Linked DNA regions of Bombyx mori. The protein of the gene in region 2 binds, or shares a complex with, the protein of the main gene of each other region. Links are inferred from orthologs where the notes say so. Each region holds a gene or a part of one and is shown on either strand. Other genes may lie near its edges.

Region 1 (11,366 bases), on a different chromosome or scaffold from region 2:
AAAATAAGGAAGAAATGTCTTCGCATGTTACACCGTCACTCACATTCGCACGAATACGCAAACCCGCAAGTGTAGGACGACATTTGCAAATGATTATGCAAAGTTTTCGCTGCATTCGTGGTTTTCCAAGCTGTGTCGGTTTTTTAACAGACATCAAAGCGCGCGAACCGCTATCCTTTGCGTAGTCTCCCACACATTCATGTGACCAGTTGCGCCCAGGATTGCGAAGGCAACGGACGTTTCGCTATTTTCATAGATCGTGACGTCTACTGTTTAGCGTATCTTCATCAAAAGAAATGCCATAAAAACAGCATGGCTATTAATGATGTCTGGGAAAGAATTCAAAACTCTTTATCTCTTCAATGTTTTATTGACGAATTAAAAAGGAGGAGAAATTCGTGAGACATTCGTAAACAAGTATAGGAGGAAGCGCAAACGGGTTCGCAAATTGCGTACCGAACCCATTTTCACAGCCGCTAAGTTTACGAATGAATGTTTGACGGCCCTTCAAACAAAACATTCGTACAATGTACGAATATTTGCGCGCATGTGAGTGGCCGGAATTACAACCATGTTACAACACTACGTATCCCGTTGCTAAAGTTATTTTTTAAGGGATTGTATGACCTGGTAACTAATGCCCGTATCTTTAGACGTTTCGTAAAATAGTCCTCCACTCTTAACTCATCCGAACTGTCAGCGAACTGTCAAGTCAAGGTACGTCGCGACGTACCTTGAACGTTCCTCAAAACAGCGTTTATTACAAGATGACTTCTGAGAGCAGTTTTGAAGAATTTATTAACTATATTTTTGATAGCAGAGTGTATAATTATCCGTCGCGAAGGTATTTGAGAGATGCAGATAACCCGTTGGAAGTTTACGATGACGACGAATTCCGAAAACGTTACCGGCTTACCAAAGATTCGGTTGTGCATATTTTGCTGCCTTTGTTGACTAACAACATTAATGAAAACGATCGTGGACTACCTTTAACGCCGATATTACAAGTGCTAATTGCTTTGAGATTTTACGCAAATTTTCAGGTTCGTGCATAATGTGCTTTTGTGTCTACATAATAGAATATTTATAATTTATAACTTTCATTTGGTTTCATGTGGTATGGTTATTTTTCAGATTGTTTGTGGCGACTTGCACAAAATTTCTCAATCCGTAGTATCAAAAACGGTAGCAAACATTTCTAAGAGATTGGCTTTGAAATCCAGGCAATTTATTAAATTCCCTGCATTAAATGAAAGGGTTGAAACTAAAAGAAAATTCTACCGAATTGCAGGGTTTCCAGGTGTAATTGGATGTATTGATTGCACACACATTCCAATAAAAAATCCATCCAGAGCAAGGGGAGAAATCTTTCGTAATAGAAAAGGCTGGTTTTCTATCAATGTCCAAATAATATGTGGACCGCAAATGGAAATATACGACATTGTTGTGCGATGGCCTGGATCTGTGCATGATTCGCGCATATTTAACAACAGCAGATTGAGATTTGAAGAAGGCGATTTAGATGGCATTCTTGTCGGAGACAGTGGTTATGCGCAGACTGGCTTTATGTACACTCCTGTACTCAATCCTCAAACAGACCCAGAACACAGATACAATCGAGCATGTGTAAATGGTGTATTAAAGAGACGCTTTGCTTGTTTGTGTAGAAAATTACAATACAGTACACCAAATACATGTAATATTATAGTCTCTTGTGCTGCCCTACACAACATTTGTTTAATGACCAATGAACCTGAGCTGAACCCTGAAATTGAGCTAGAAAATGTCCCAGTACCTAATACTCAGGACTCTTCTAGAGGGAGTATTATAAGATCGGCTTTTATTTCTAGGCATTTCAGTTAAAAATTCTCATATGGGTATCATCAACCTACAGCAGTCCACTGCTGGACATAGGCCTCTCCAATTGCTCGCCACTGAGCACAATCCTCGGCTTCCCTCATCCAGCTCTTGCCAGCCACCCTGCACAGATCATCACTCCACCACTTCACAGTTTCGACTCAAGAACATGTTTACCCTAACAGTTATCAGTTGTCCGGCTAATATGGGTATATAAGTTGGAACCGAGCAGTGAGCACCGTTATTGTAATGCAGATAGTATTATTTATTTTGAAGATGAATGATTAAATTGATTTTGTTAATTTTGATAAATTTTTTACTAAAAAAGTAAATAGTACGAGGTTAGACTTTTGAAACTCCTTATTTTATTTATCTACATAAGAGTCATATTTTGCTTACTATCTAATAAATAAAGTCAATGTGATTATGAGTTATTTATTTAAATTATTTTTCACTACAATCTCTTGTAGCCCGATTATATTTTTTAATATCTTCTGCAGCTTCCCTCTCAGCCTTTGCTTTTAGATATACTTCTTCTGCTGCCTTCATCATCCACTCTCTTTCCTTTTTTTGGAATTGAAAGAGTTCATCTTCTCTTCTCTCTTTCTTTTCATAAGATTCTTTTCTAAACTTAAATTCCTCCTGAATTACCCTGGTGCGCACATTCCCTCCTGTAATTAAATAAAATGCAATTGTTATACATCTATATTTGTAACATTTTAGTAATCTATATAATGTATATTTATGATTTTGAAGTGATGATAGCTTTAGTGGTAATTAAGGTATTAAGGGTGGTTTCAAATCCCACAATTGGATTGAGCTACTATAGTCGAATTATTAATTAGACTGAGTAAAATGTGATAGTCAATTCATCTGATTCAATACAATTAAGGTGAAGTTATAAAAAGATATTGATATATTTAGATTAGATTTACAAATTGCATTATTTGTGCTTTACCCTAACTAATTAATATAGATAGACACTCAGAACTTCATCATTCTGTTGTGGTTGCGCTACTGCTGGAACTGATGTTTCAAGCTCCATTGCAATATCTAGAAATAAAACAATAAAATCTTTAATTATGTATGGTAGAATAATAGTGATAGTTGGAGTAGAGGAAAGAATTTTAAAGTAATATTGTTCTTAATCAGAATGTGGTATATTCATTATGATTATTAAAATGGTTTCTTGAGTGAAAATCTTTATCAGGTATTGTCACGCATATTATTTATCTAGTTTTTAGCACAGTAATACATGTAGTTCGACTCATATAGATATATAACAATAATCAAAAGACCCTCCATGCCACCACGTTCTTACTGTTTTTTGTGAGAGAGCATGTGAGATTGAAGCACTTATCTCAAATTTTTAAGATTCACTTACCTTCAGAACTGTAAATGGTATCACTGTCAATGTCACCCCTGAGTTCCACATCAGTCTGATCCAGTAGAACCTCAGCAAAAATAAGGGTCTCATTGCTGCTACCAGGCTGTGGCTCATTTGGAACACACTGTCCGCCACCAGTCTTCATTCTCTGACGCTTTTCATTAGCTAAAAAGTGCTTCCTCCGTGTTTTTAAATTATCCCAGCACTTCTTGAGCTGGGCCTCACTTCGCTAAAACAAATGATAAATAAGAATAGCATGGTATATATAGACAAGTAAAAATCAGATACAAGTAATATAAATAAATATCTACCTTTGCATTTGATTCAATTGAATTGAATTCTTCTGTTAAATGTATCCACAAAAGTTTTTTTGTGTTTTGACTAGCTGTCATGGTAGCAGTTTTGTGCAGATTATATTTTAAAATTAATTCTTGTAGGCAAGGTCTTCTCGCTTTCGCTAAATACTTGCCTGGACGTCATCATAGAAAAACTGAAACGACAAATAATTTACTGCATCGTAATTTCACGTAAAATCTATAAAAAACTTTGCTTAGGCAGTGAGTAATAAAGGACAAAAATATTTAACTATTTGAGTTAACTTAAAGTTAACTATTTAATAAATAAAACACCACAATCATAACTTACCTGAATAATAAACCGGTGGTTGTGGAAAAGCACTTCAAAAAGACGATGCAATCAAATTCAACAAAGAAACAGCGAATAAAAATACAAAGCCGGGTTCCTGGAGGAGCTATTATTCAAAATCCGAAATCTAATTTATTAATCATGGGTTAGAAAAACGAAAACCTTCTATTTCACCGCACGCGCACGTATTTATGAGTCTCTCAACTAAAACATCAAACAAGTTCGATGCGTCTAGTGTCAAACAGACAGTGGTAGCTTGACTTTGACATTAAACAATGACCATAAGCTACAGAACTCTTATAGGTTTGATGCTAGCTTGATCAAATTTTCCTCAAACTGATGTTGTCGTGGTGACGCAATAGCACCTCTCTACCTTACTCGAGGACAGTTGAGGAATATTGTAATGGTCGACTAAAAATACCAAACTCGAGTAAGTTTGGGAGGAATATTCGAGCATCATCGGATGAGTTTAGAGTGGAGGACTATTTTACGAAACGTCTAAAGATACGGGCATAAGACTTTTATGTAATGTCTTATTTTAATTTACATTCTTATTTTTATGAAAAATGAATTGATGATTAATTTGAGACATTAATCAACTGGGATGAAATCAAATGAATTTATATGATATGGGATGAAATATAATCTCAGTAAAATGGTGGTGATTTACTGAGATTTTTTCAGTGGACTTTTTGGAGGATCCCGAGAAGTTACGTTCATTGGCTTTGTTTCATTTTCCCACATTTGTGCACTTTCACAGATACTAAACAGTTAATAAACCACCGTTACTATACATTTAAACCTGAAGAAACACTAAGTAGACAAAATAAAACAAATCACACAACTTCACTCCTCGCGTTCCCGCTAAAAAGTCCCTCAATAAACAAAATATCATACTACGCCATAGATAACATTTTAAATATTTGTCTACTATTGACTTTGGCTTACTCTGTACTCAGTATATTTACTGTGGACGTAGCCTAAAGTGCTTTCCTTTTACTACATACTATTTGTAGATTACAGGTTGTTGGTTTCTACCTACTACATGTGTTTCCATTTTCATAAGAATTCATGAAAATAAACTATCAACATGAGTTACTCAAAATTTGATTTAACGTTTAAAATAGGACAGTATCTTGATCGGCATCTCGTGTTTCCTTTACTAGAATTCTTAGCAGCAAAGGAGGTAGGTTATGTAGTCAAGTTTTACAAAGTGTTGTCCGTTTCATTCTAAAAAGCAACTGAAAGGCTTAAAACCAAATACTTTCAGACATATGACCAGTCAGAGCTCCTGCAGGCAAAGTTGGAGATTTTGAGCAAAACTAACATGATAGATTATGTTACTGACATCAGAAGAATGCTCTATCCTGAAGAAGACACTCCTGAAGTAAGAATTTATCTTTAACAAATATATTATTTGTCCTAAATTAACTTTATTTACGGAATGATGTTTAACACAAATTATTAGAGATGCTGACATCTGACTATGTATGTATATGTATATGTGTTTAAATACATAATTATGACAAGAATAATTGAATATGCAATTTCGAAAAGGGCACATCTCTGAAAATGTAAAATGTTCAGGAGATGAAAAAAAACTGATTATTTTCTAAAGCAGTGTAAAATTTAAAATATTAACTTTTGAGATACGTTTTAGTGTTAATTAGCAATTGAAAATTACTGGAATTATTATAAAATGGGTGTAGGTAAGCCTCAAAACTACATGTATATGAAAAAACGTATTTGACAAAATATGCGACATGTGACCTTTCCGAAATTGCATATACAATTAGTATAATGACTTAATTAAACCTAAAAGTGATTCTAGGAAATTATACAGCGGAGAGGTGTAGTTCTTTCGGAACTGCAGGAACTTCAAGATGCAGTAGAGCCAGTATTGAGACTCATGCAAAGAGATGATGTAATGAAAACAATTGAAACCATGAGGGATCCTAAAACTCTTATAAACCATCTTTCGACAAACAAGGAGTATGAGGTGAGTCTTTCATACAACGGAAACTAAATGAAAAGATAATTACTAAACTGCCATGCAGTACAGCAAAACAGTATTATTTATTCTATATGAAGAAAGAATAATAACTTAAAATGCTAATTAAATTAAATTGTTAACAATTTTACATACTCTAATAGAGACAGTCCTGAGAAGGGTATTCCCAAATATATATTTCTTTCTTTCTTTTTTATGCCCAATCACAAATTATCAAAACAAAAGAAAACATTATACAAAAGCCGAATAATATAACCGAAAGGCATAGAACACCTCATTCAATTGTTGTACGATTGTAACTTAAAAGTAAAAAGCTTTTCTGTATAAATATTTATCAAGATAATAGCAAGTGTGGGGCATTTATTTTTCCAACCCCTCAATAAGATCAAATTCATTATTCAGTGGAATCTTATTTAAAAGTAAAATACTAAGCACTATTTTGAGCAAATAGCAATTTATGACAAAAAATAGTTGTAAATTAGAAGAGTAATTTGACATGGATTTTGACAAAAATATTGTTATGCCAATGCCAGATTTTTCTTGATATTACTCAAGAATTATGTCATAGAATACTGCAGTATAATATTGAATTTTGCAATAGGGCAGTGTATCAAAATTTCATATTTCGTTCTTCAGAAGAAGACTTTTTTGTGCTAATACAACAAGCAGCTGAGAAAATTCTGCATAAATAATTATAATTTTAATTATTAATATCATATACATTAGATATATGTACACTTTAAAGGAAACATATATACATCCTCTACCTGCCTTAGCTTATGATGTCAGCTTACAGAATTTTATCTTCAGATCATAAATTTTAAGTGGAATATTACCTTGGTTAACTTAATAAATTTTAATGATATATCTTTTAAATACAGTAGTAGAATGTAGTAGAATTGTTATATATTTTTTATAAATCATTGTCTGCCTATTTCTGCCGTGAAGCAGTAATGCGTTTCGGTTTGAAGGGTGGGGCAGCCGTTGTAACTATACTTGAGACCTTAGAACTTATATCTCAAGGTGGGTGGCGCATTTACGTTGTGGATGTCTATGGGCTCCAGTAACCACTTAACACCAGGAGGGCTGTGAGCTCGTCCACCAAAAAAAGAAAAAAATAAGCCTAAAATTGTTTGGTCTTAGTAAACATATTTAGTATATAGTAGATATATGAAATATGTCTACCAGCAAGATATTCAATTTATAAATATAAATCCTTAAATAAAACTAAAAATAAAAGAATGGTTTGACTAATATCAATTTCTATTCCAGTTTAAAATTGAAATGATCGATAGCATGTATCGTTTGGCCAAATATCGCTATGAATGTGGAAATTATGTGGAGTCAGCATCATATCTTTACTTTTGTCAACTGGTGATGTCGCCAACTGACAAGGTAAGGAACAGTAAAAACATAATATGTCATATTGTATTTAATTATCAAATACCTATGTATTATGAAATGAAGCCATTGTTATGACATTTAAATAGACTTGTAAAATAAATTTGTCAAAATATGTATAGGCAGCAATGTATAAAAGCGACTTACTCTGTGTGTGGTATAGCACCAGCTTTTCCCCTAGAGTCACGCGAGATTCGCCAGAGAATGGGCAGCAGTACTCAGCATATTATTATAGTGTACTGATATAGCCTACGAGCATATACTGATAATAGGGGGTATTGGAAATCCTCATGCGTAGTTATCACCGTTTTGGCTACTTCTATCATGAACCTGTTATTAAGTTTTGAAGGTTGGGACAGCTATTCTACAATACAGTTGGGTACTGGTGGTAGGACCTCTTGTGAGTCCGCACGGGTAGGTACCACCACCCTGCCTATTTCTGCCGTGAAGCAGTAATGCGTTTCGGTTTGAAGGGTGGGGCAGCTGTTGTGACTATACTGAGACCTTAGAACTATATCTCAAGGTGTGTGGCGCATTTACGTTGTAGATGTCTATGGGCTCCAGTAACCACTTAACACCAGGTGGGCTGTGAGTTGGTCCACACATCTAAGCAATAAAAAAAAAAAAATTCAACTTCATGTATTAGATAGGTTAGGAATATATTATTATGTAGATATAATATGAACATTGTGATATCTATAGTATCCAGTATCAATAGAGCAGGTGGGCAATGAGATTGTGTACCCATCTATGAAAAAAAGATAAAATGTAACACTTTTAATTTTAAAGATTTATGAAGTTGTAAATTAATATATTTCAGTTCTTATTTCTTGTATTAATTAATAAGAATGTTAAATACTACATCTATTTGTAAGTAAAAAAAATACAATTTATTGCAAGTAACAACTAGCATTTAGGGAAATTGCATATTAATAAACTATAGCATCAAACTGTTGGTGAACTTGTGTTCTGTGGGCTTTTACTTCTGAAAGGGCGTTATACCAAAGACCACATAGCTCACATTGATGAGCTAAAATACTGATAGACGCTTTTATCATTGGCTCATCGGTTTTAATATCTTGAATGATTTTCAGCATGAAATGTTCAGCTTTATATCTGCAAATATTTTATTAATTTAATTACAGAGTTCCATCTTATTTCATGCACATAATCTTAGTGTGTGATGCTTACAAGCTTTAAGTAGTAAGTCTTCTGGTGGTAGGACCTCTTGTGAATCCGCACGAGTAGGTACCACCGCGCTACCTATTTCTGCCGTGAAGCAGTAATGCGTTTCGGTTTGAAGGGTGGGGCAGCCGTTGTAACTATACTGAGACCTTAGAACTTAGACATAACCACTTAACACCAGGTGGGGTGTGAGCTCGTCCACCCATCTAAGCAATAAAAAAAAGAAAAAAAAAGTAAATCTCCGTAAATCAAACTCAAACTAACGACAGAGTGTCCATTCTTGTTTATGATTCCTTACTAGAATAAGGCTGTAATTCACTCCTTAATAAAAACTTAAGCGCCTAAATAAAGCACAGGTTCGACCTCGCGTAGCCTACCACAACCCAACTTTGATCCGTATGTACTATTTTTCTTTGGCTTCATAAGAGGAGAGAGAAGCGTTCAGAGTGTTTGTTGACTTCTCTTCTTCGAATAGAGGTTGGTTCCCCCTGTGATCTATACCATACTTTATATGCAGCAGATGTCAGTCATCAGTACCATTTCTGAAGTAGAGTACACTCCTACTACCACTACCACTATGTAACTGCCACTACCACTGCGTTTCAAGAGCTTGCCTTGTAAATCCATTTCTAGAAAGAATTCGCTTCCGTGGTGTTTTTTGAAATTTTATATCCTCATCGTCGGATGAGTTTTGAAAAGAGCCCTTAGCAGTAGGCAAAGGTGTACGAGCGACAGTAAGCACTTACCATTGGACCATTACCATTGTATGATATCTGCCTTGAATGGAAATCGAATTGAAGGCACCTATAAGATAAGAAAAATGCGAAGAGAATTTCACCTGTGATTGTAGAGTTGATCGTAATTCTTGAATTTACGGTCGCAAATGTTGCACAACAAAAATTTAGGCAATTCAAAACTGTATATTTTCAACCACGGGCACACCAGCCAATGTTGCTCGTTAGTTTTATATGATTTAAATGTTAAACTACAAGTAGTGCATTCGTAATTGTTTACGACAGAGTGCAATTTGCTATGAGTCAAAAGTCTTGGAATACTTGTAAATACTTTTTCGCAAAACTCGCATTGTAATAGTGACGAGGTTTTAATTTCTCGAATGCCCTCAATATCTTTTGGATTACAACTATCACCAGGATGTTCAATTGCTTGATCTCGACGAGGCCATACTTGAAAACATTGAATGCAAGTCCAAACGATTTGCCAACGCTGTTGTGTCTTGCATTCTGTTGTTAAATGTTGGCAGTTAAAATGTTTTTTTATTCCTGCTTCATGGATATAATTTGACCCACGGTAGTAAGGATGTCTCAAAGATCTCGTGTATATTGTATCTAAAATCTCTTGACTTTTAGTCAAATCCAATGTTCTATTTAATATTTTAATATTTTCCATAATTCGGGCATTATTCTCATTCACTCTATCAAGACTGTACTGTAAGGGGTTGATGTAATCTTTGGGAACGTTATTGATATGTTTTTCAGTAAATTCATTACTATCATTTTGATGTATGATTCGATTGTTATTATTCAAGCGGCAATCAGTGTTAGTGTCTAAATATTCGTTCACTTTATCGGGTTCTAGCAGCTTAGCACTAGATTCTAAATTAAGTAGATCTGATTCAAAGGTGGAAACTATCTTCACAATAAGACATGGTGATTTGGTACTCTTGTTAGTATCAACTGTCCCATCCGCCCATTTTCCAAAATGCACATTTGCTGAATGTTCGTCATCGTCTATTAAAATTTGCAAACTTTTACAGTTTTTCGATTCTTCGTGTTTTCGTATTATTAACTTTGTACATGGCATTTCGATATAAACTTGCATTTAATTTCAAATGTCACCTTTAAGTACATTATGTCATTGAGAAAGAAAATAACATTGTAGACACCAAAGAGAATCTATCATAAATAATAATTAGCAAGGTAAACAACGAATATATTGTTTTCAGAATTATTTGTCGGTTCTTTGGGGTAAATTGGCTAGCGAAATTTTGGTACAAAATTGGGATGGCGCGCTCGATGATCTAACCAAACTTCGAGAGTTCATCGATAACGGTGGAGCCGGTTCCACTGCCAGCAACATGCAAGCCCTACAGCAACGGACCTGGCTGGTTCACTGGTCGCTATTCGTGTTCTTCAATCATGTCAAAGGACGTGATTTGATCATCGAAATGTTCCTGTATAAGCCTTTGTAAGTTTTACATTTTGGAATGTTTATCTTCAGATTTTATGAAAAATTTCGAGTCTCTAATATGGCAACATAATAGGCAATGAAAAGAATAATTATCAATTAAAAATATGTTGTTACATTAACTTAGTTATATGTATATTCTACATTCCAAAGCCCGAGTGGTAATGAAACCAAAGGCGATCCAATTGCAAAAGAGACCTTAACTCAGACGGAAAATCTAACCGGGACCCGAGGTACTGAAATAATGGTCACTAACCGCGACCCCAACCGAATCAGTTATATTATTTTAAAAGGTATCATAATATGTATTATCGTATTACAGGTACTTGAACGCCATCCAGACGATGTGTCCCCACATCCTCCGCTACTTGGCTACTGCAGTAATCATAAACAGGTCTCGCAGAAATGCCTTGAAGGACCTTGTGAAAGTTATTCAACAAGAAGCTTACACCTATAGGTGCTTTAAATTTTTTTTTAAGATATATGATGACACTTTTTTATGTTTGTGTTTATCGCAAATACGAAATAAAAATATATATTATTTTTCAGAGATCCTATCACAGAGTTCATTGAACATCTTTACGTTAATTTTGACTTTGAAGCGGCCCGTCGAAAATTGAATCAATGCCAAGCTGTACTTTTGACTGACTTTTTCTTAATCGCCTGTTTGGAAGA
Region 2 (11,488 bases):
ATCTACAACGTAAATACCGCCACCCACCTTGAGACATGAGATGTAAAGGTCTCACTTTTAACAGTACGACAGCCGCCCCGCCCTTCATAGCGAAACGCAACAAAAAATCCAGAATTTATTAAATTTTATAAGACTTTTTACACTTTAGCGGCATCTAATGAAAGAAAGTTCACAATCATAATAATGGAGTTGCTCTGAATTAACTTCAATCTAGAAATGAAAGATTTCATTTATAAATGTCATATTCTACATTGGTGACCACCACTGACAATGAGAAGATATTTACTTCACGATGATGATTACGTATTAAGCAGAACCAAGCCCCATATTAAGCATGAACTATATGTTTATTTATTATTAGGTGAATGAGCTCACGGCCCACCTGGTGACAAGCAGTTACTGTGACATCACAATGTGAATGCTGCCATACTCCTTGAGACATTATGTCGAAAGTCTAAATTGTGCAGTACAACGGCTACACTACACTTCAAACTGAATGCATTACTGTTTCACAGCAAAAATCAGCAATTTGAATTACAAACACAATCAATGAAGTCATAAACAATGAATTTTACTTACTCTGGACTAAAATATTCTTGACTAGGTCATCAATGAATCCTGGAAATTCATCCTTGGCTTTATAGAAAGTGATCTTCTTTGTAAGGAGATCAGCAAACTCTGTGTACTCTTCTTTTGTAGTTGGGTGGAAATTGTCAAGTTTACCAATGTTACCTTCTGTTACACCTGTAATCATTTTCATGGGTAAGTTATCTAATCTGATAACTAGACATATTATAATAAAAACATTGTCTCATATGACTTGAGGCAGTTTTAAGACTTGCCAAGAAATTGTGCCAAGTAATCTTAATATATATTTTGGACAATCAATCATTACATTTGCTAGTAGTTTTGAACACAATAAAATACGATTATTGTATGAGAATATGAATGTTTATTATTTTACTCAAAAGCCTTATTGTTATTAATAAATAATAAAATAAAATAAAATAAAAAGCCTTTTATTTCTTGCATTTAAAAAAAAGTTACATTACAAAAATTATAAAAAAATTGTTGATAATACATTAATAATAATCGATATTAATTATGATAGAATTCTTAATAAATTGTGTATAATATTAGTCGGATCAACATAAAATATGTAAAAAAGGTTATATTAATTTAGCATGCAGGCATGCAAGAACCCCTCTTATGTGAGGGTGAAGGCCTCCTCCAGACTTTTCCATTTGTCTTTATTTTTGGCAATTGTCTTCCAGTTTTTACCAGCGATTTTTATTATATCGTTGTCCCAACGCGTTACCGGTCTTCCTTTCCTTCTAATACCTGCAGGCCCCCGCCATAGCGTGAGTCTACAGGTCCAGCGGTCGTCGCTCATCCTGGCTACATGGCCTGCCCAGCGCCACTTTAACTTTTGTGAGAAATCTAGTGCATCTATAACTTTAGTCTTTTCCCGTATGACATTATGTGGGATTTTTTGTATTTTTCTCACATTCGTAATGCTTCTCTCCATACTTCGTTGACAAGACCTGATTTTGTTCTTTACGCGTAGCGTATATTTCCACGTTTGGCAGCCGTAGGTAATAGAGGGGAGCAGGCACGTGTCCATTAGTTTCTTTTTTAAGTTAATAGGCATCGTTCCCTTTAGTATGTCTTTTAGACTCCAGAATTTTTTCCATGCGCCTGAAATCCTTCGTTCAACCTCTAATTCATTGTTTTGTTTTCCAAAGGAAATTTGTTTGCCTAAGTATATGTAGCTATCTACGTATTCTAATGGTTTTTCGTCGAGATATATGGGATGTTTTATACTGTTCGACATAATTTTTGTTTTATCTAAATTCATTTCCAAACCCACTTCATAGCTCATAGTTTTTAGCGAGTGTATCATTGATTCCATCTCTTTAGCACTTTCAGATAATAGAATAATATCGTCCGCAAATCTTAGATGGTTGATGAAATTGCCGTTAATATTCAGCCCTTTTCTTTCCCAATTTAGTTTGCTGAAGACCATCTCCAGTACCGCTATGAAAATTTTCGGAGATAGTGGGTCGCCTTGCCTCACACCTCGCCTTATGGGTATCGGTGGTCCTGTCGTCTCAAGTTTGACTCTACTTGTGCAGTTGTTATACAAACACTTTATTATTTCTATATATTTGTGTTCAACGCGTTGTGAGATTAGGGCGGTCCATATAGAAGAGTGTCGGATTGTGTCGAAGGCTTTCCGATAATCGATAAACACAACATAGAGTGTTTTCTGATATTCATTATATTTTTCGACAATTTGTTCAATTGCGTGGATATGGTCTATTGTAGAATATCCACGTCTGAAACCAGCTTGCTCTATTGGTTGGTGTTCCTCTATTCTCTTACTAATCCTCTTTTCGATTATTGATGAAAAAAGTTTGTAGAGTGTGGGTAGCAGACTGATAGGACGATAATTGCCTATATCAGTGGGATCACCCTTTTTGTAGAGTAGAATCATGTTCGACTCTGACCATTGAAAAGGTGTGGTGCCTGAATCTAATATAGAGTTAAAGAGCTGTGTCAGAGGATGTGCAAGATATTTAGAGCCTATTTTTATTGCCTCGTTAGTGATTCCATCGGGCCCTGGACATTTTTCAGCTTTAAGTTTTTTTATTTCTTCTATAACTTCTAAATCATCTATCTTTTTTATCTGTGAGACGTCTTCCGCTGGTACTTGTATGCTGGTGCTGACAGATATATTTGTAAAGTTTTGGACTTGACAATCATACAGTTTTTTGTAGAAATTGGTTGCGGTTTTCATAATATCAGTCCTATTATGTGATAGTTTATCTGACTCTTTTAGTTGTTTAATCCAAGGCTTGTAGGTAATTAGCTCCTTGTACGCCTTTTTAATGCTCCCAGTAGTATATGTTTTTCAAATGTTTTTGATCGATGGAGCATGTAGTCTCTCCTTATGTTCTTACTTATGAGTTTATATAAAGCTTTTAGTTCATTTTTCAATGCTCTTGTTTTTGGTTTGGTTACATGTAGTTGCTGTCTCCGCTCCATGAGTTTCCTAGTATAGGCTGATATTACACTAGGTTTAGTAGTGTGTTTTTGGGTGTTTTGTGCGCTACGTAGACTTTTTTCTATATTGTTATTATAATGTATTAATTATTGGAGGAATAATTATTATTGCTCAAATTTATGCAATAATAAATGCTATTGTTACACCACAACCAGTAAACATAAAAAAGCAGTGTATTTATATTTCTTATTTTCCTCTGCATGTTGTGAAAGGCAACTAAGGATTTCACCAGAGAATGGGTAGAAGTATTCTCTGTATAAAATCAGCATACTATGATTGTCAACTGACATTTAATGAAAGAAAGGCACAACATAAACCCACACAGGTAGATACCACAATCCTGCCTAATTCTGTCGTGAAGCAGTCATGCCTTTTGATTTGAACAGCTATTACACAATTCAATGAAGACTTTATGTTTCAAGGTGGGTGGTGGCATTTATGTGACTATGTTTGTAGGCTCCTGTAATCATTTAGATTTAGTTCACCCATCTACTCAAGAAAAGTCATACTTCACCCATTTTAAATACACTTTCACATACAATTAACACTTTACGTAAGTATTAACTCTCTAAAAAGATCATATGACAAAATAAATTAATTTAAGGATCATAATTAGAAGAAATATCATTCTCTTATGGAGATATTGAAAACTAGATATGTCATTAAAATCTTAAACGTTCAATGCATGATGCCAATGATTTAACATGCAGCCATGAAGCCTGATATCTCATAAAAGCATAATGGCTGCTGCACAACAGATAAAAGCAGGGTGGTAATACCTACTTATGAGGGCTCACAATAATCCACTTCACCACAATTTTTTAAATTTTTTTTTTATTGCTAGGTGTGTGGACGAGCTCACAGCCTACCTGGTGTTAAGTAGTTACTGGAGCCCATAGACATCCACAACGTAAATGCGCCACCCACCTTGAGATATAAGTTCTAAGGTATCATGTATAGTTACAACGGCTGCCCCACCCTTCAAACCGAAACGCATTACTGCTTCACGGCAGAAATAGGCAGGGTGGTGGTACCTACCCGCGCGGACTCACAAGAGGTCCTACCACCAGTAATTACGCAAATTATAATTTTGCGGGTTTCATTTTTATTACACAATGTTATTCCTTCACTGTGGAAATCAGTCGTGAACATTTGCTGAGTACGTATTTCATTAGAAAAATTGGTACCCGCCTGAGATTCGAACATCGGTACATCGCTCAACACGAATGCACCGGACATCTTATCCATTAGGCCACAACAACTTCATTATATTAGGGATTATAAACCCTCTTTTAGAATGTCTACTAATTATTGCTTAAAATGAATCTTATTTTGGAATCCACAAACTGTAATACGAGCACACCAAATCAATCAAGCATACCAAAGGTTTCCATGGCTAGTCGCAAATCTGATTCTTCCTGTAGCTTCTGCTGGCGAAGTTTCTCAGCCAACTTCTGCTCTGGAGTCATTTCTTCTGCAGTCTTCTCTGTCACGAGACGTTCAGCCTTCTCACGTTCTTGTCGCTAGTAAAATTTTATAATTTAAATATTATGGATATTATATCAATTCAAGAGCAACTATAGCCTGTCAATTCTATGAAGTTATGAAACTATGTTCATTTTTCTGGTGAATTATCGTATTTTAGATTTGGTTATTATCCCAAACATGATGTAAGTTAACCTTTAACTTAATATTGTCATACCCTATACAAAATTTTAATACAAATTCCTCATGAATTGCAAAGGGTGTTGAATGCTGTGCAAAAGAGTCAGGGCCTCACATGACCTTTGTCTGCACACAATGATCGCTGTATATAAGGTAATAAAGCAATACGCTTTATGCCACCAGGACTACAGAGGTGATATCAAGCAACACCATCAACATAAAGTGTGTAACATCCATACTTTGCATAAAGCGGCAAGATCAAGTCTCAAACTGAGATATTGAGGATGAAGGTAAATAGTATTGAAGCACTTCCAACAAGTGTGGATGACTCTAAGTTTCCTAGATTTGTCTTTTACTAACAGCTGAATTATGAACAGTGAGCACCTGGAGGGCAATGCTAATGTTACAGGGGATGTTTTAGAATGTCATCCAACTGTGTCTAATATCGCACACAACGGAGTCCAGAATGATACAGATATGCTCACAAAGCTGTCTCAAGATTTGAAAAAAAAAAGTGTATACAAAATTTGGCCTTCCTCCTATACTTTATGTAGAATGCTGATGGGCTGTTGTATTGTGCACCCTGCAACAGACCCTTCAAGACAAAATGTGGCTTCCCTAACCATATTTGAGCACATAATCAGTCATAACCAGATGTTGACACACAATATGTCAAGGAAGATGATATATGATGACTGAGTGGGATCGTCAGCTATCATTACTGAGTGAACAATTGCTAGCAAAATGTTATTTTTAAATTCCACTTTTTATGTTACCTAACAGGAACACCCTCACTAGCACCAGATTTCTTTTCTGTTGTTTTTTAAATATTAATAATTAATGGGTTCTTAATATATTTTAATTATTATTCTGATATTTTATGCTGTCAAATGAATTTAATATTAATTGCAAGGTGATGATAATCCATGAGTAATCTATCTTGTTAACCTTCTTTATGCATACTGGAACCTTGATATTTATTATAAATTATTTGTATTTAACTTGTCCTTTTTAATTATTTTTTGTGTAAATATTTATAGTTGAAATTTGCATCAGAGCAGTACATACAGTTACTGTAATTTCATAATATAATAAGTTATCTCCACGAATTTTATATAAATAAGCGTCAATGACTTTTGCAAAACAAATTTTAGACAAACACTGGCTAATGTTAAACTCGATAGGTATCTAATGATTATGTGAATCTAATTTATACATAGATGGGTACAATAAAAAGCTAAATAAAATTTTCTCTTCTGTTTGTCAACAGATTTAGTTTTTTTTATTTATCAGTTTTTTCTTCACTATTAATTAAAAAAATACCATTGACTGCAAACGAAAGAATATGATTCGAGCCCTACACCCCAGCAGAGAGAGAAAGAACAAAGAAGAAGATGATAATTAAGATAATTTGCCAGTGATTGGTATTATAAAAAAAAGAACATTTAAACTGATTTCAAATGGAGTGCATATTTTATCTATTCCACTAGATGGATGATCATGGCGAAGCAGGCAATAAATATCAGTGTCTATATATTAAGTCTTAAATTTTACAATAGACTACATATATTATTTTTCCTTCAAATCTTATTTCTATTTTTGGTATGTATACAATGCAATTAAATGTTTTAAAATTATTTTTAGACAACTTTTGGTTAATAGAGGATGCAATTGGCTTCAACAATGCTCAACATTACCAAGTTTATGTGTAACAAAACTATTAAGTTCATGTGTTAAAATACCACTAAATGGGTAGTAATTTATGTTACCATATAATTATAATTATCTATTCTATAAACTAGAAGCTATTCTAGTAGAGTTTAGACTATAAAATCTCTAAATCATTAAACATATGTTTTAAAAGCACTATACCTCTCTTTCGGCTATTTTATCGTGTATTTTCTTTTTAGGTTTCGGTTGTGGAGGTGGCGCTGCCTCAGTCTTTTCTTCGTCTTTCTTTTCCTCCTCCTCATCCTCCCAGCTTTCCTGCGAATAAAGTCTGACGTCAACACGTAGGCAGTCATTTAGGTTATGTACTGTTTTGAGAAGATTCGTAATACATTTAGAAGTTAGAACACTGTATACAAACTACTTGGCACACCAATGATTACCTTTACGTTATCATCCTCGTCTTCCCCTTCCCATTTGTTGGAAGCTGCCAACGTGGTCGGGAGTTTGGGCTCGAAGTTATCTGCGTCTGGAATGTACCACGATTGACATTACGAATGTAGATATTTATAAAATCTATTTTGTTATTGTATTAAACAGTACGTACCCCATGACACGTCCATTTTTAGGACTCCAGAATCAGCAGCTGAATTAATATGAAAACTTTTCACCTGAACACCAAAATCGGACAACTATCGACAGTGACTTATCACTCACAAGATGTCTCCAGAGTCGTCGTTTTCTAGACAACAACAAAACTCGAGTGTAATTCGTCAAACTGAAGACGATTTTCTGCAATTATCACGGTCGGATTGAAAAACAATGAACAAATGACATAATATTGGCGAAGCCCCAACAGACGTATGTTCACAAATTGATTTAGAAAAGTAAGAATCCATTGCAGACGATAATTCCCGATTTACTAAAATTTTCAATATGGCCGACAGTGTTATATTTTATTTATCTCACGAAACAGGCGAAAGGGTCTTAGCCTATACAGGATCATTTTATGAAAAATCTTGTCAGCTATCAGTATAAATGGTGAAATGAAACGAATAGAAAAATATTACAAGTTTAAAAAAATTGTTTTGTATTTTAATTTAAGAGTAAAATAATGTATTTTCCTAATTAAAAAGAGTGTTCTCGTTGTGTATTTTGAAGCTCCCAAGACTATTTCGTACTCATTTAGCCGTTTTAGCTATTGAAACTAGAAAGACCTTGGGACCGCCAGCTATCCCTACATCACAAAAAATAGATTTGAGTCTATTATAGTTTTCTCTGATGTGTTGTATTGACAGAAATATTTTTGTACGCATTTAAAAACACCAGACAGTACATACATTTGTGTGTGATGGTGTTAGAGCATGTTGAGATGCACTCAACGCTGAGCGGTGTAGCACTGGGGTGGACGGAATTGAGGTATTGGTTGTTGCGTGTTTGATGTCGTACTCGTCCTTTTTTTTGACCTACTTATGGCTACGTGTAGAACGAGCTCATGGTGGTCAGCCTGAATAATTTGCAAACATTAGCCTTAACCAGGACACTGCTTGGCTGAATCTACACCAGATCGGAATCGCAACCCACTGAGAAATTCCGGCGAGAAACTCAGTGCGCTGTGTCTGTGAGTTAATTTACTCGCCGAGCCCTTCATCGCTTGAACGGGTTCAACGAATAAGTTGACCGATGCTTGTGATGCCTAAAAGCATCGAGAGTGGTTATGAAGGATCGCTGCGCTTGTTTAAATGGGGCGGTCGTCTTTCAACGGTGCTGCCACAAGAAGTATTGCCCATGGGCCCTGATTCATATTATGTTTCCGTTTAGATAGTATATATTAAATTATGTATACCAGTTTGATTGTTGCCTACTGCTTTTTTTTTATTGCCCTTGTAGGCAGACGAGCATACGGCCCACCTGATGGTGAGTGGTTACCGTCGCCCATGGGCTTCAACAATGCCAGGGGCAGAGCCAAGTCGCTGCCTACCGCTGCTTAACGCCAAAACTACAAAGCGAAATAATTGACGGTTAATAATCATCTAAATGCGACATCTATTGACAGTTTTGTAATTTTTGTGTTTTTTTCTCTATAATGCTTGAAAATGAAGCCTGTGTCGACTAATAGATGGCACAGTTGTGTTGGAGCGAATTACAATTTGTGAGATAAGTTAGCTAGTTTTTTAAAATAAATATTGGGCAAAGAAGACCCCACCACAATTTTGATAATTACGTTTACCATTTTACGACTTTAACTATTTAAATCCGAACTATGCCATTTTCTGTAACATTTTATCATTATTGACTTTGTAACTCCTTAAATACCTACAATCTTTGTAAATATTTGTCGGTCGTTTCCAGTAAATCGGTAAAAAAGACGATTAAAATTGTCTATACCTAATATCCCACAATAGTTTTTGAAGTTTGATACTGGTGGTAAGACCTCCTGTGAGTCCACGCACGGGTAGGTATCACCACCCTGCCTATTTCTGCCGTGAAGCAGTAATGCATTTCGGTTTGAAGGGCGGGGCAGCCGTTGTAACTATACGAGACCTTAGAACTTATATCTCAAGGTGGGTTGCGCATTTACGTTCTAGATGTCTATGGGCTTCAGTAACTACTTAACACCAGGTAGGTTGTGAGCTCGTCCACTCACCTAAGTAATAAAAAAAAAATAAAAATAAAAAGTTTTTGAAGTAAAAACAGGTGTAGCTAAAATAGTTCAAAGCATGACCAAGCAGTTTAAATTCTTCAATTGATAGTGAAAATGGCGAAACGGAAGATCGACTTGTTTATCGAAATAAAAAACGAAAAGGAATTTAAAAACATATTAAGGACGCATTCAGAAGCCCTTATCTGTTAGTCACAAAAATATAGGATGAAAAGTTATTCGTTGATTTGATTCAGTAGTTGTCGTAGTTGCGAAGGGAGTTTTTCTCAGGTCTCCTTTGAAAAAGTACATGTCATACACAGAATTCTCGCAAAATCTAGGAGCTAATTCATTTCGTAGTTTGATATGACCTGACAAAAATGTTTCGTGGAAAACGCATTGTGCCCCAGCGTTGTGATCATCAAGGTAACCTAAGTGTTCTCCGGTGGCGATTGCTGTGGCGACATGATGAATATGTTGGTATAATTATTTAAATAAGTATTCCAGCAGAATATTGGAACTTAAATGAGTACTCATATTTTTGCAACATTATTTTAGTGTTTGTCGAGCTTAAAATTTTACCAAGAATTTTTATGGACGTGTCGCTCACGGCTTAGTCGGTGTCAAAAAACTCTTTCACTTGTGTGACTTTTTCCAACTTTTTTTTTTCAAGCTGATAGTCTTGAGAGGTTATTTCAGCGTAACTTTAACTAGCAGGTGAGCTCGCGGGGCTCAAATCTGACCACGTTGCTAACACGAACCCTAGCAAGAGTCGTGCTTCGCAGAATCTACCACCGGATCGGAAACGCGACCCACTGAGAAGATCCGGCGAGAAACTCAGTGGGCTGTGTCTGTGGGTTAATTTACTCGTCGAGCCTTTCGTCCCAAGCGACGGGTTCGACGAGAATGATGACCGGTTTTCCAGCATATACTGTCTCTATTTTAGTGGAAAAACACTCCATATTTTAGTGAAATAAATACCTTATGGATCGGATTCAAGAGCGTTTTACAACTGGTATAGACAAGGCAGTGGTAGCAAACGATTTATGCTCAGAACTTGCTGCCACTGAATATGCAAATTCGTAAATTATATTGATTTCTTTATATTAGGTGCCGAAGTGTATAGCCAATTCGTAGGCGCTTGTACTGCACTCGATAGACTTTTCACGATCATCAAGTACGATTGGAGCAATGGAAAAATTATTCTGCTGAAGGTAAATTTTTATAGGTGTTTAAAATTTATAACGTATTCTTTTCTCATTAAGCTGAAGTCAATTGATTTTTTTTGTTTCGCTCACTTCATTTTCTTTGATTTACGTTTACAATATCGTGCCTATTTCATACCGTGAAGCTAGTAATAGATTGTTGATACACGAATTACGATAATATTAAGGTTAAGGCAAAGGCTACTTCCTGCTTTAGACTTCGGAAACTTCTTTTCTGTTGTATGAAATTATAAATACTACATTTTTTTTTAAAGCTTAGATGGGTGGACGAGGTCACAGCCCATCTGGTGTTAAGTGGTTACTGGAGTCCATAGACATCTACAACGTAAATGCGCCACCCACATTGAGATATAGGTTCTAAGGTCTCAGTATAGTTCAACGGCTGCCCCACCCTTCAAACCGAAACGCATTATTGCTTTACGGCAGAAATAGGCAGCAGGGTGGTGGTACCTACCCGTGCGGACTCACAAGAGATCCTACCACCGGTAAAGCGCGGTAACGCTCCGTGTTATTATTGCTAACAATTTTTGTGATCTTTACGAAGTTTTATTTCAAGCGCAACAAAAAATTTTTTAAGCATGTCTACGTTTCTATTTTTTTAAAATTATATTATTTATATATTATATATATATTATTTGAAAATTATAGGTTTTTGATTTGTAGGTGCCGTCGGATGAAGTGGATTCATTACGGAGATTCCGCGATCAAAGCGAACCAGTGTACTTGTTTATTTTTGTAAGTTCTTTTTTCATTAACGAAAAGAACAAAACGTTGAACAACAAAGGGGGGATCGGACTATTGTCCTTTTCTGACTTAAAATTTGAATAAGTTTTTTTTCATTTAATCGTCACTACGAGACATTTGTTTCTTCTGTTTTAATTTAAATGGAATTGTATCTATACTGTATTTTGACAGTACCGATTTTTGTCATGTTGTGTACATATTTGCAATCTATATATTAATACGGGAAGCAAAAACTTTGTGTCCCTTTTTACGAAAGTTGCGCAGACGGAGGAGGATGAAATTTTCCACACTTATAGAGAATATAGAGAAGAAGTGCACAATGTTAATTTTTTTTCTAAATAATGCGTAAAATATACTTTAAATCAATAAAGAAAACATTACACGCATGCATACTATTTATTGTCAAGTGATTGTCAAACTTTTGTTCTTGACGCCTGTTGTCAAATTGAGAATAGATGAAATATTGTTTGTCTTTGT
Region 3 (10,767 bases), on a different chromosome or scaffold from region 2:
GTCCTAGTACGGACGTGGTCTGGTTGTAGGACAGATTGTAGTGAGTGTGTGCGGGTAGGTACCACAACCCAGCCTATTTCTGTCTTGAAGCAGTATTGCGTTTTGGTTTGAAGCCTTTGTAACTATATTGAGACCTTAAAACTTATATCTCAAAGTGGGTGGCGCGTTTACGTTGTAGATGTCTATGGGCTCCAGTAACCACTTAACACCAGGTGGGCTGTGAGCTCGTCCACCCATCTAAGCAAAAAAATTATAATGTTTACCTGAGTTCCTCCTCCTCGCGCACGGTGTTGAGTCGCTCGATGTACTCCTTCCGTTCTTCGATGATCTTGTGGCGCTGCAGCACGCGGTGGTGCTCGGCCTGCTTGTTCTCGTGGTAGTACTGCACCATGGCGGCGCGGGCGCGCTCCCGCTCGGCGCCGCGCCGCTGCGGGTACAGCGCGCCCACCACGCGGGACAGCACCTCCGCCGCGCGGACCAGCTGCTCGCGGACCTGATTATAGACACGTCAAGGGATTTTTAATTTTTTAAGTACGCGTGCATATATTGGAGAATTCGTATCTATTTGTTTTAATGTATTTTATCATCGAAATGTATAGTAGGGAAAATAATTGGGAGAAAAAATTTTATTTGGTAAAAAGATAATTTTACAAGGCTTTTTCATGATTGTTGAGAATCGTTCTTGTGGAAAACACTAAATATATTAAAAAATTTAAAATATTTTATCACATTTGAAATATTAAATTTACCATTTTAGTAGTCATACATAACTAAAATAGTAAAATAGGATTCATAGAAATATTATACTGATTTGAATAAACCACATCAGATGATTAATAACATAGTTAATGTATGTTTTAAAGTCTTAAAATCTTAGTAAAAACTATATCATCAGTACGTCATTTAACTCGTCCAAACTAATAGGTACACCATGTCACAGCCCATCGAAATAAGTTCAATTGTAAATGTTATAACACTACAAGTCCATTATTCATAATGCGCGTACCTGTTCCGCCGGGGTGGCTTGCAGGATGGCCCCGCCGCAGGCTTCGTCCGCGGCCGAGCACCACTCGCCGCCGCCCGCTTCTACGCCAAAGTGCACGCACCTGATTGTAAACAGAAATAGTAATTAAGAATTAAACTGAACAATTACCCTGCCAACAGTACATTTTGAGTCCCCTTTAGCCGACAACCTAATAGGGGTGTATGGCTCTAATAAATAATAAAAAAGTCCCTTTAGCAAATGAGATGTTATAGCACTCAGAGAGAATTGTGGATCTGGATTAGATTTGGATGAAACGTGGCAAAAACATTGAATTAAAATGGGGAGGTTTTTCCAAACTCTTTTAAATAGGTACCACTTATTTATCTAAGTTTAAGTGAAAAATGAAATGGAAGTAGTTATTACTATAATGAAAGCTGACAGAAAAGCTCTTTCATATCTACTTATGGTACGCGAGATAGACGTATCGTAAATTTATTATAATAGCTTTCGTTACAATAAATAAAAATTACTTAAATTTATTTGAAAAAAAAAAGGTTGTCTATGTTTAGGGATACTGATAAAATTTCAAAATTATTCTTAATTTATGGGCAATAAATTAGATGAATGATGAATAGCACAGTTTTAGTAATAGTCACAGCAAAATTTGCGTAATTATTGGTGGTAGGACCTCTTCTGAGTTCGCACGGATAGTTACCACCATTGTTTTAAAGATAGGGCAGCTGTTGTAACTATACTGAGACCTTAGAACTCATATCTCAAGGTGGGTGGCGGCATTTATGTTGTAGATGTCTGTGGGCTCCAGTAACCACTTAACACCAGGTAGACTGTGAGATCGTCCACCCATCTATGCAATAACAATAAAAAACTGTGTCTATGCTTTAGTTTTATACGAAGTTCGCAACGTACTTGTTGGCGTGATCGATGCGTATCTGCATGTCGTTGTGGCGCACGCAGTCGACGAGCAAGCGCTCCAGATGGAACAGGTCGTCGGTGGCCGCCAGCTCCAGCAGCCGGGAGAACTGCACGCACGCGTAGCACTGGGCCACCTGACGGATCAGCCTCACCAGGGCCACGTCCGTCAAGGCATTGGTGTACTGAGCGAGCGATGAATCTGTTAAATCAATATTCAAATAAAATAATTGTATAGGTACACAATGATTCGGTTATTTGGTATACAGTCAGGTATTTATTACTCGAGTTAAAGTGGGTCACATTAATAAGACTCTGGCTATTTTTAATGTGTATCCCTAGCCTTTAGAGTATTATACATATCCATAATTATATATTTGTTTGTGTGAATCATAATTAAAATGTTTTTATGAGAACAGAAACAAAACATTTTAATGAAATATTATATTACACATGATAACCATTTGTAATAAGTCTTTAATATTTGATTTACATTTAAATTGAATTTAATTTCATCTTTATTCACGTCATGGGATATGCTCCAACAGATGGATTTTCATTAGGGATTATTATTAATATTGTGCTTTTGCACAGAAATATTTTTAATTTGTAAATGAATGTATATTCACGAAGGATATTGTCGAGTTGAACATTGAAACCAACAACTTTTGGCACTTTAGAGAATGTATAGTTGTTTCAAAAGATGGGTCAAATCTACAATTAGCAATAGTTACAAACTATGGGTTATGGCTGTTACGACGTCTCACTCGTAAATTATAACATGTGCAAGCATACATTAACACAGGCTATACATGTGTCGTATATTCTGTCGCGTCAAGCTTACAATATGATCTACCTCTGAGGCCTACCATCGCATAACCATTAAGGGTTACAAATGGGATTTATTTCAGAGGCACAATAATCCTAAAATCTTTGATTACTAATTTATCTATATTTTGTTTGAAGAAGTCTCCATTAACTTTTCCAATGAAGTGAATAGTTTCAAATGTGACTTCCACTTTTTGAGTACACACAGTTTACATAAAATTAATATTAAGCTTGTCTTTGTTATAAAAAAATCCAAATGTTATTTAAAGGTGTCCAATTTTGATTTATGTAGCTATAGAAAATAAAAAGTTTTTATCGCACACACATTTTATTTGCTTGTTCTTATACTTTTATTTTATTTTTTATTGCTTATACTTTTAATAACAAGACCTGTTTCACCAATCATTTAATATTTAATATTTTTCCTTTAATAGAGGTAAGGTACTTTAATACACCTGTATATATGTATGTATGGTCTTAGTTCAGGACTAACCACATAGCACATTTCACTATTAGGTTTAGTAAAAAATAATGCATCTTCAGTGTTCAACAAAAACAGTGAATACTGTGTGTATAGTAAAACGGATTAAAAAGAAGGTAGGTAGATAAGATTGTCTGTTTCTAACATCTACCCAGCCTTTAGTCTAATGTCAGTTGGACAGTAAGCTAAGCGTAATGTAATGAGTTATCAGTGTGGGTTAAACAATGTACTCACTTGGCTCATCCTGCAAAGATTTGATAACACCCTTGACATTAAGGCAGATGGTCAGAGGGTCGAATTCCACTTCAAGCCAAGAATAAAGCTGTTGAAGTTGAGGCGATGCCAGCGACACGACGTTAAGGCGGACGATATCTAAGAATAAACATAATTTTATACTTTAGTTACATTTGCATCTTATATATTTAATCGAGCAATTCTTGTATATAAATTTATATATAATCTGAAAATCAGAAAGGACTCCAACGATTTCCATAAAATTTTGTATACAGGGGATTTCAGGGGCGATAAATCGATCTAGATACGATTTATTTTCAGAATTTGAATTTGTTGTTTTTTTGTGTTTTCGATAATTTTGATTTTTTCTTTAAATAACCAGTTCATATTTTATTATTATTCTGTCGGTGAGATCGAAAAATATGATTTATATTTCATCATTTTATCAATATGTAATTCGTATTTAAATATAATTTCTAAAAAACACAATTTATCAAAAAAAATATCGAGCAAGGCTTGGTTATTAACTAGTATTTTATTAAATTTATATGAATGTGTTAATCGCCAGGAAGTGCTGAGTATTCAAAATTAAATAATTAATAGGCTGTAGTGAAACATACAGACATAGCAAAATTTATATTTCCAAATCTGCATTTATTTCTAGTTTTGAATAATTACAAAAATATGGACTAATAAATAAATATTTTTATGCTAGAGCTCCAGTTGCAAAGGTATTACACAAAGCAGAATGAGTTACCAAACTCAAAGGCCAGTAAGTAATTACTAGTGTAATTTTCATAAAATATTGTAATACATGTTGAGAAATTCCTTTTCCTTCTTACTAGATAATTTAAAGTCATTATTATATTCAAATAATTAGTACTAGTTCTTTTAAAATAGATACCTTTCAAAAGACTTGCCCTGGTCGGTGGTTGAGCAAGACCGAGCAGTACAGCCAAACGTTGGGCCTTCTCAACAGGGCTCTTATCCGTCTCGACAAAGCGATCGAGCTCAGGGTGTAGAGATGGCAGTGGCACAGACAGCACCGCTACCAGTACTTGACACGCCATCCTACAAAGTAACTTTTTTTTTACTATTTTTTTTGCGTAGCACTTGTAATACAGCTATAAGTAGTCCATGTGAGTGTTTGCAGGCTTAACTGATCAAATAACATGGTTTTTTGTGTCTATACATATATTTGTACTGGTGGTAGGATTTCTTGAGTTTGCACAGGTAGATACCACCGCCCTGCCTATTTCTGCCGTGAAGCAGTAATGCGTTTCGGTTTGAAGGGTGGGACAGCTGTTATCTATACTGAGACCTTAGAACTTATATCTCAAGGTGGGTGGCGCATTTACGTTGTAGATGTCTATGGGCTCCAGTAACCACTTAGCACCAGGTGGGCTGTGAGCTCGTCCACCCATCTAAGTAATAATTTTTTTTTATATGAATTGAATCCATAATTAGTCAGCGGGAAGCAGATGTTAAAGGTTAGCCACTTGCTCATTGCCAGTATATAAGTATATAGTATGATGATTATTGAACAGTATTCTTACTTCTGCAGTTCCTCTTGGGTGATGTTCTTCTTCATCTCCCTGTATAGCTGGAAGAGTTTCAGCAAGGCTGCAGCATGGAATAGGCAGTGGCCAGCTTTCCAGAAAACAAGTGCCAGTTTCCCATAGTAGTTGGCCATAGTTTTGGCGACTGGAGTTTTTTTAGACATGTTCATTAGGTTGTGGATGTCTTCAATGGCTTTATAGGCTTCCTGTTAAAAAAATAAAACATGTTTCTAAAAGAAATTTCAATTTAACTTCCAAAGGTATTGGCCGTGTTTGTATTAATGCAATTTTAAATTATTTTATTATTGTAATGAAATTCATTGTTCATATTCAAATAGTCCCTTTTTTGTATATATTCTATTACTTTATTGATTACTTATTTATTGAAAGATTTTAGTGCACATAAAAAATAATTAAATTTATTTAAATACGTATTACAAAATAAAGATGAAATATAATTTTTTTAACAAACCTGCCATAACTCCATTTGAATTGCACAGTCGAGCTGGAACAATCTTGTTTCGAGGTTCAGCTGTTGAGTTTCTGGTTTTGAAATGCTAACGTTACCAGTTTGCACCTACAAAATAATACAGACTATATTTCAGAACAGAATAAATACATTTTGTTTATAGAAATACTACAAACATAAACCAGCCATTTAGAATTACAACAATTGTATAGTATGTCACTCTTTACACCAGAATACATAACTGCTCTGTGACAGAAACAGGTAATGGTAGACCCCTGCTAGCCCATAAAACAACCCAGCACCAGTAGATTAATTGTCTGGTATATGATACATAATTGAAGACATGAGTGGACGAAGGGGATATAATACAATTTGTTAATTTTGAGAAAACGAGCAACAGACTTTTTGTTACTTATACTTTTGCTTCATATATAGCTTCTTCATCACATGCAATTTCTAAAAATAGCCTTTAAACCTGGAGTTTTAAGGGCTAATATATCGGCACATAACACCTTCATTCAATATAGAAACTCAAAAATCTTTAAAATTGTACTTAACCCCTTCATCTATTCATGTTTTCAATTGTCCCAGTACAGTGTTATCCAATAAAGGTCTCTAATCACAGTGTAGCATGTGATAAGAATGTATCTTTACATCTTGTTCAGAGCATCTTAATCAATTTGGGATCAAATCACTAGTTGCCCTTTTTTATGAAAGGAAATGGATGTCACAAATGATATAATCTCAATTGTATTTATTGTATGTATTATAACTGCTTCATTACAGACAATCTATGTGGTACCTACTTATACAATCTGACACCTATGCCCTACCATCAGTTGATAAATAGAAAAATTGAGTTTTATTACACTTACTGTAGGTTTGCAAATATCTTCAAGATGTTTCCTTAGTTTATCACAAAGCTTTCTGAATTCTGTTTTTCGCGAGTACTTTAAACAAAATTGGAAGGCCATGCGAGCAATATCATGATACAAGGTTTCCACATGAGCATTCGTACGAAGGAGCTCCAGGCATTGGCAGTAGGATTCCCAAAGGAATTTCACCTGTGTTAAAAAATTGGTTTCATTATTATATTTAAATTTATAAATAATTTTAATAACTAAATGCAAACTCCATAAGTTGATAAATTCCAAATGCATTGTTATAGTAGAATTTCTGGTGATGATAGCTCACCCATGGTGTGAGTATTGTTCTGTCAGATCGGTCCTGGGCATCTTCACCTGACACTGCACTCAGGAGTATGCTCTCCGGGGTTGCAAGGTTATCCAGATCATCAGTGTCTATGACGGCCTGCGTCGATAAAGCCCTGGCTGTTTCTGTGCGTTCCTCTGCCATACGGAGATAGCCTCTGTGAAATGTTACAGTTACAGGCACATTTCTTTATTATAGTTAGAAATTGTGAGTGTAAAGTAATTAGTTTTGCTATATTTGGATTTATTAGCTTACAGTAACAAGCGGTTTTAGAGTTCATAGATACCACAAAGTCAATGTTGCTTTCTGTCCACCTCATGCCCTAAGATTACAAGAATCAATTTTATTTTTATTGAATCAATTTACGAACAGGGTCACATTTCATCCTATCTACCTTGTGATGAATCATCAAAATCTCATTTTTAATGTATAACAACTGTTCAATCCTTTAAACAGTTAAACATTATTACTTTGCAACCGCAATGTACACGATAGTGAAGAGGAACCACTTCTATGAGTTAATTTTATACACAAATAACAGTTAATTCTTGTATTCTTGTACGACATGAACACTGCTGCCAGTTCTCTCAAAAGCCCCAGTCGTGTTTTACTGTTGTAAACAGTACAGGACAAGATGAGATTGTGGTAATCTAGGCAGACATCAGCCATTGAAACATATACTCATGGTATGGCAGCTTCTGAGCCTGAGAATTAGAAGTCATAGTGGGTTTCAGCATTTGCTTTGTTGATGTGCATCAGCTTCAGTGATTACTTAACACCAGGTGGGTCTTGGGCCACAAAGTATTAACAAAAAGAAAACAAAAGTTGAGCATATTTGACAAAAAAGTGATTGAATGAACTTTATAAATCAATGCAGATCTGTTAAAATTTATTTGTTATTAGTGTTAGTCTAGTTATGTGTTAGACATAAATGGTATCATTTTTTTTTTACTTTTCAATTTTTGTTTATCACAAAGTTTAAAATAGTGGATTGCTTATATTTAATTAACAACTTTCATATATTTTTTTTGCTAGGGATATTCAATTCATATTCCAATACCCAGTTTTATGTAAACCAATGATCATTACGTGATTGAACAAGTGTGCACCAATTTTTGCATCTCATTCAACTGTATCTAAGTATTAATTATTAACAGCATTTTTGGTAAGTTTCAGTAAGCTTAATGCTTTAGGCTTCAATTTTATGTTTGAAGATAGGCATCTGCATTGCACTGCAGTGAAATGTTTGGGAACCCTTTTTTTTTCTTTTTTTTTTTTTTTTCCTACCTAAGCTGATAGCCCTAGCGGCTATTTCAGCGTAACCCTAACTTTAGTAGGTGAGCTCACGGGGCTCAAACCTGACGATGTTGCTAACACGAACCCTAGCAAGAGTCGTGCTTCGCAGAATCTACCACCGGATCGGAAACGCGACCCACTGAGAAGATCCGGCGAGAAACTCAGTGGGCTGTGTCTGAGAGTTTTTGGGAACCATGGTATACCTTGCAATAGGTAGACAAGACTGATTTTAATAATTACCTTATAACCTGCTCCAAAGACCCAACGTTAACTGATTGGAACATGTTTCTGTACTGGAACAGACCTTCCTTTGCAACATGAGATTTACGTAGATCAACGCAAAGTTCCAAGTATTTGAACATGATTGGTTCTAGGACAGATTCGGACCAGTTGTAGGCCCATTTTTTGTTACGGAAAACTTCCTGTAAGGTGTCTAGGGCCCTTGCTGGTTTGTCCAAATCCATGAACTCTGAAAATAGCATTGTTACATTGAAATGTGTCTTAATTTTGTCAATAACAATTGATCTAAATTTTTTACAATATTTTGCACAGGAAACGATATGGAAAGAACGGCGGTGTATACTGAAATTTGGATCATATGAGTGAGATCATCAAAACATATGGATTGTTTTCGTAATTTCAGCATAGGAGATAATTATAATCATGATCTACTCTAAGATTGAACGTTATATTGGATTTGGATTTTAGGTTTATATTAACTAATTATTGTTTCGTCAATTACGTAAAGATAAGCTTGACACGACGACTCTTAAATGTTTTTGGTTATGTTTATTTATTAAATGAAATTTAAAAACTTTTTACTTTAGAAAAATATTTTTTATAGCATTATTTGATATCAATAGATGTTTCTCTTGTGATAACCATAGGTGGTGAATCCATCGAAATGTTTTTTTTGCTAATCATAGAAACGCAACGTGGATGATCAAACATAATACTAACCATTGGCCCGTTTAAGGGCATTTTCCGGTCTTTGACCGTATCGCGCCATTTTCTTTATATCACTTTCTACTTCATTAACACAATTTCGTCGATTTTATGTCGGTTTAGGAGAGAAAACCGAATTCCTCCAGCACCGGCCTCACACGCGACATGTAAAACAAAATGGTGGAACAGGATACATTTTTTTTTATAAATTTTACTGGCTTGGAAACAAAGACCCTTAAGCCAAGTAACAGGATACAGATTAGCTGTCAGGAATAGGGTAGGAATCTGAAATCAAATTCAAATTCATTGTAGAATAGATTTTTGGCAAAGAAAGTTTGGATTTTAATTCAGATCAACCAATGAATTTTGGTTAAATTAAAAATTTAATATGCATTTGTTTTGTTTTCTGTTTCGGATAGAAAGTAAATATAAAAAATTCATAATTTTATGCTCAATTAATTTAATCTATTGTAAACACAATTAAAAATTATAACAGGCACATATTTAAGAAATCAACCATACAATATTACCTTAAAGTCATGCTCCATAGAGAACTTTAGTTCCTGTTAGATGAATCATGAAAATTGCTTCATCGTGCCGCCGCTCACTTAGATTCATGCAGGAGCCAGTTACCGTCGACGCCTTTGAGACGTCCTTATGGATGCATCCTGTCCATTAATTATGTAAATAGACGCCTACGCTTTAGCACTAGGAGCAGGCATAAGGACCTTGGTAACGCTCGGACAGAAATGCCTTAATGCCACCAGAAATCCATCCCTCCTAAAAAAGTAGTTTCCATAATATTTTATACTGAACAGATAAAATAAACTCAGATAAATGTTTCGTTGTGTTTGAAAATCATATTTGGTAGATATAATATTTGGTTATTTAATGATATCGATATGATTTACCTATTATGTATCGATTTATAATTTCAAGTAACACCTAAAATCTTCAGATCTACAGACGATTTTTTCATGTAGTAGTAGCAGGTAAGTTTTTTTTTATTAGGTTTGATTAATAAATAATGTCCTTTATCGTTCTTTTTGAATTTTAATTAGTTGTTGCTAAATTACTTAAACAAAATATAGAAGAAACTAGAATAATTATTAAAGACGAGTTTTTTTATTTTTTTATTGCTTAGATGGGTGAACGAGCTCCAGCCCACCTGGTGTTAAGTGGTTACTGGAGCCCATAGAGATCTACAACCTAATTGCGTCACCCACGTTGAGATTCAAGTTCTAAGGTCGCAATAAAGTTACAACGGCTGCCCCACCCTTCAAACCGAAACGCATTACTGCTTTAAGTTTCGCCTCGAGCTCTTCGACGAGTTCGACTAGTGCAGTTGGTATTTTTTTTTTATTATATTGCATGTGTGGATGAGCTCACAGCCCCCCTGGTGTTAAGTGGTTACTGGAGCCCATAGACATCTACAACGTAAATTCGCCACCCGCCTTGAGATATGTTCTAAGGTCTCAAGTATAGTTACAACGGCTGCCCCACCCTTCAAACTGAAACGCATTACTGCTTCACGGCAGAAATAGGCGGGGAGGTGGTACATACCCGTGCGGACTCACAAGAGGTCCTACCAACATTAAATTGCCTGCATGTGCCTGATCCCAGCCTTAGCGCGACCAGCGTCTAGTGTATGTGGACCAAATGGATCTGCAAGGACATTTCCAAGGCGTTGACAATGATTGATCCCCGCATGAGCTGGATCAAGGTCATGTTTCACAGCGGCCACGATAAGAGAGCTAGCGTAAATAAATTCACAGCTTACTCATTCATATCTGTTGTTTGTGGTAAAACAGATCTTGTGGCAAATGGC

The links.
Region 1: eukaryotic translation initiation factor 3 subunit J (region 2) and eukaryotic translation initiation factor 3 subunit E share a complex: the UniProt entries of both Drosophila melanogaster proteins name them as parts of the eukaryotic translation initiation factor 3 (eIF-3) complex. The link is inferred for Bombyx mori from reciprocal best matches to the Drosophila melanogaster genes eIF3j and eIF3e.
Region 3: eukaryotic translation initiation factor 3 subunit J (region 2) and eukaryotic translation initiation factor 3 subunit A share a complex: the UniProt entries of both Drosophila melanogaster proteins name them as parts of the eukaryotic translation initiation factor 3 (eIF-3) complex. The link is inferred for Bombyx mori from reciprocal best matches to the Drosophila melanogaster genes eIF3j and eIF3a.

The regions. Positions count from the first base shown.
Region 1 is NC_085111.1:12,359,684-12,371,049, reverse strand, and holds the start of eukaryotic translation initiation factor 3 subunit E, read left to right. Parts: upstream 1-4,918; 5' UTR 4,919-4,979; coding exon 4,980-5,075; intron 5,076-5,159; coding exon 5,160-5,276; intron 5,277-5,720; coding exon 5,721-5,888; intron 5,889-7,172; coding exon 7,173-7,295; intron 7,296-8,091; exon of another isoform or gene 8,092-8,230; coding exon of another isoform or gene 8,231-8,417; intron 8,418-9,324; coding exon of another isoform or gene 9,325-10,325; exon of another isoform or gene 10,326-10,418; intron 10,419-10,449; coding exon 10,450-10,691; intron 10,692-11,013; coding exon 11,014-11,148; intron 11,149-11,240; coding exon 11,241-11,366. Other genes in the region: putative nuclease HARBI1, read left to right, coding at 768-1,043, 1,135-1,863; uncharacterized protein LOC119628513, read right to left, coding at 2,825-2,910, 3,242-3,473, 3,556-3,636; zinc finger protein 280B, read right to left, coding at 8,231-8,417, 9,325-10,325. UniProt on the Drosophila melanogaster protein: Component of the eukaryotic translation initiation factor 3 (eIF-3) complex, which is involved in protein synthesis of a specialized repertoire of mRNAs and, together with other initiation factors, stimulates binding of mRNA and methionyl-tRNAi to the 40S ribosome.
Region 2 is NC_085125.1:12,534,557-12,546,044, reverse strand, and holds the start of eukaryotic translation initiation factor 3 subunit J, read right to left. Parts: upstream 7,123-11,488; 5' UTR 7,024-7,122; coding exon 7,008-7,023; intron 6,930-7,007; coding exon 6,844-6,929; intron 6,719-6,843; coding exon 6,605-6,718; intron 4,591-6,604; coding exon 4,449-4,590; intron 745-4,448; coding exon 580-744; intron 1-579. Other genes in the region: uncharacterized protein LOC101743774, read left to right, coding at 9,159-9,249, 10,152-10,255, 10,931-11,002. UniProt on the Drosophila melanogaster protein: Component of the eukaryotic translation initiation factor 3 (eIF-3) complex, which is involved in protein synthesis of a specialized repertoire of mRNAs and, together with other initiation factors, stimulates binding of mRNA and methionyl-tRNAi to the 40S ribosome.
Region 3 is NC_085122.1:3,673,238-3,684,004, forward strand, and holds the start of eukaryotic translation initiation factor 3 subunit A, read right to left. Parts: upstream 9,196-10,767; 5' UTR 9,004-9,195; coding exon 8,955-9,003; intron 8,464-8,954; coding exon 8,235-8,463; intron 6,856-8,234; coding exon 6,681-6,855; intron 6,551-6,680; coding exon 6,362-6,550; intron 5,595-6,361; coding exon 5,490-5,594; intron 5,224-5,489; coding exon 5,015-5,223; intron 4,530-5,014; coding exon 4,363-4,529; intron 3,597-4,362; coding exon 3,459-3,596; intron 2,118-3,458; coding exon 1,913-2,117; intron 1,107-1,912; coding exon 1,007-1,106; intron 494-1,006; coding exon 264-493; intron 1-263. UniProt on the Drosophila melanogaster protein: RNA-binding component of the eukaryotic translation initiation factor 3 (eIF-3) complex, which is involved in protein synthesis of a specialized repertoire of mRNAs and, together with other initiation factors, stimulates binding of mRNA and methionyl-tRNAi to the 40S ribosome.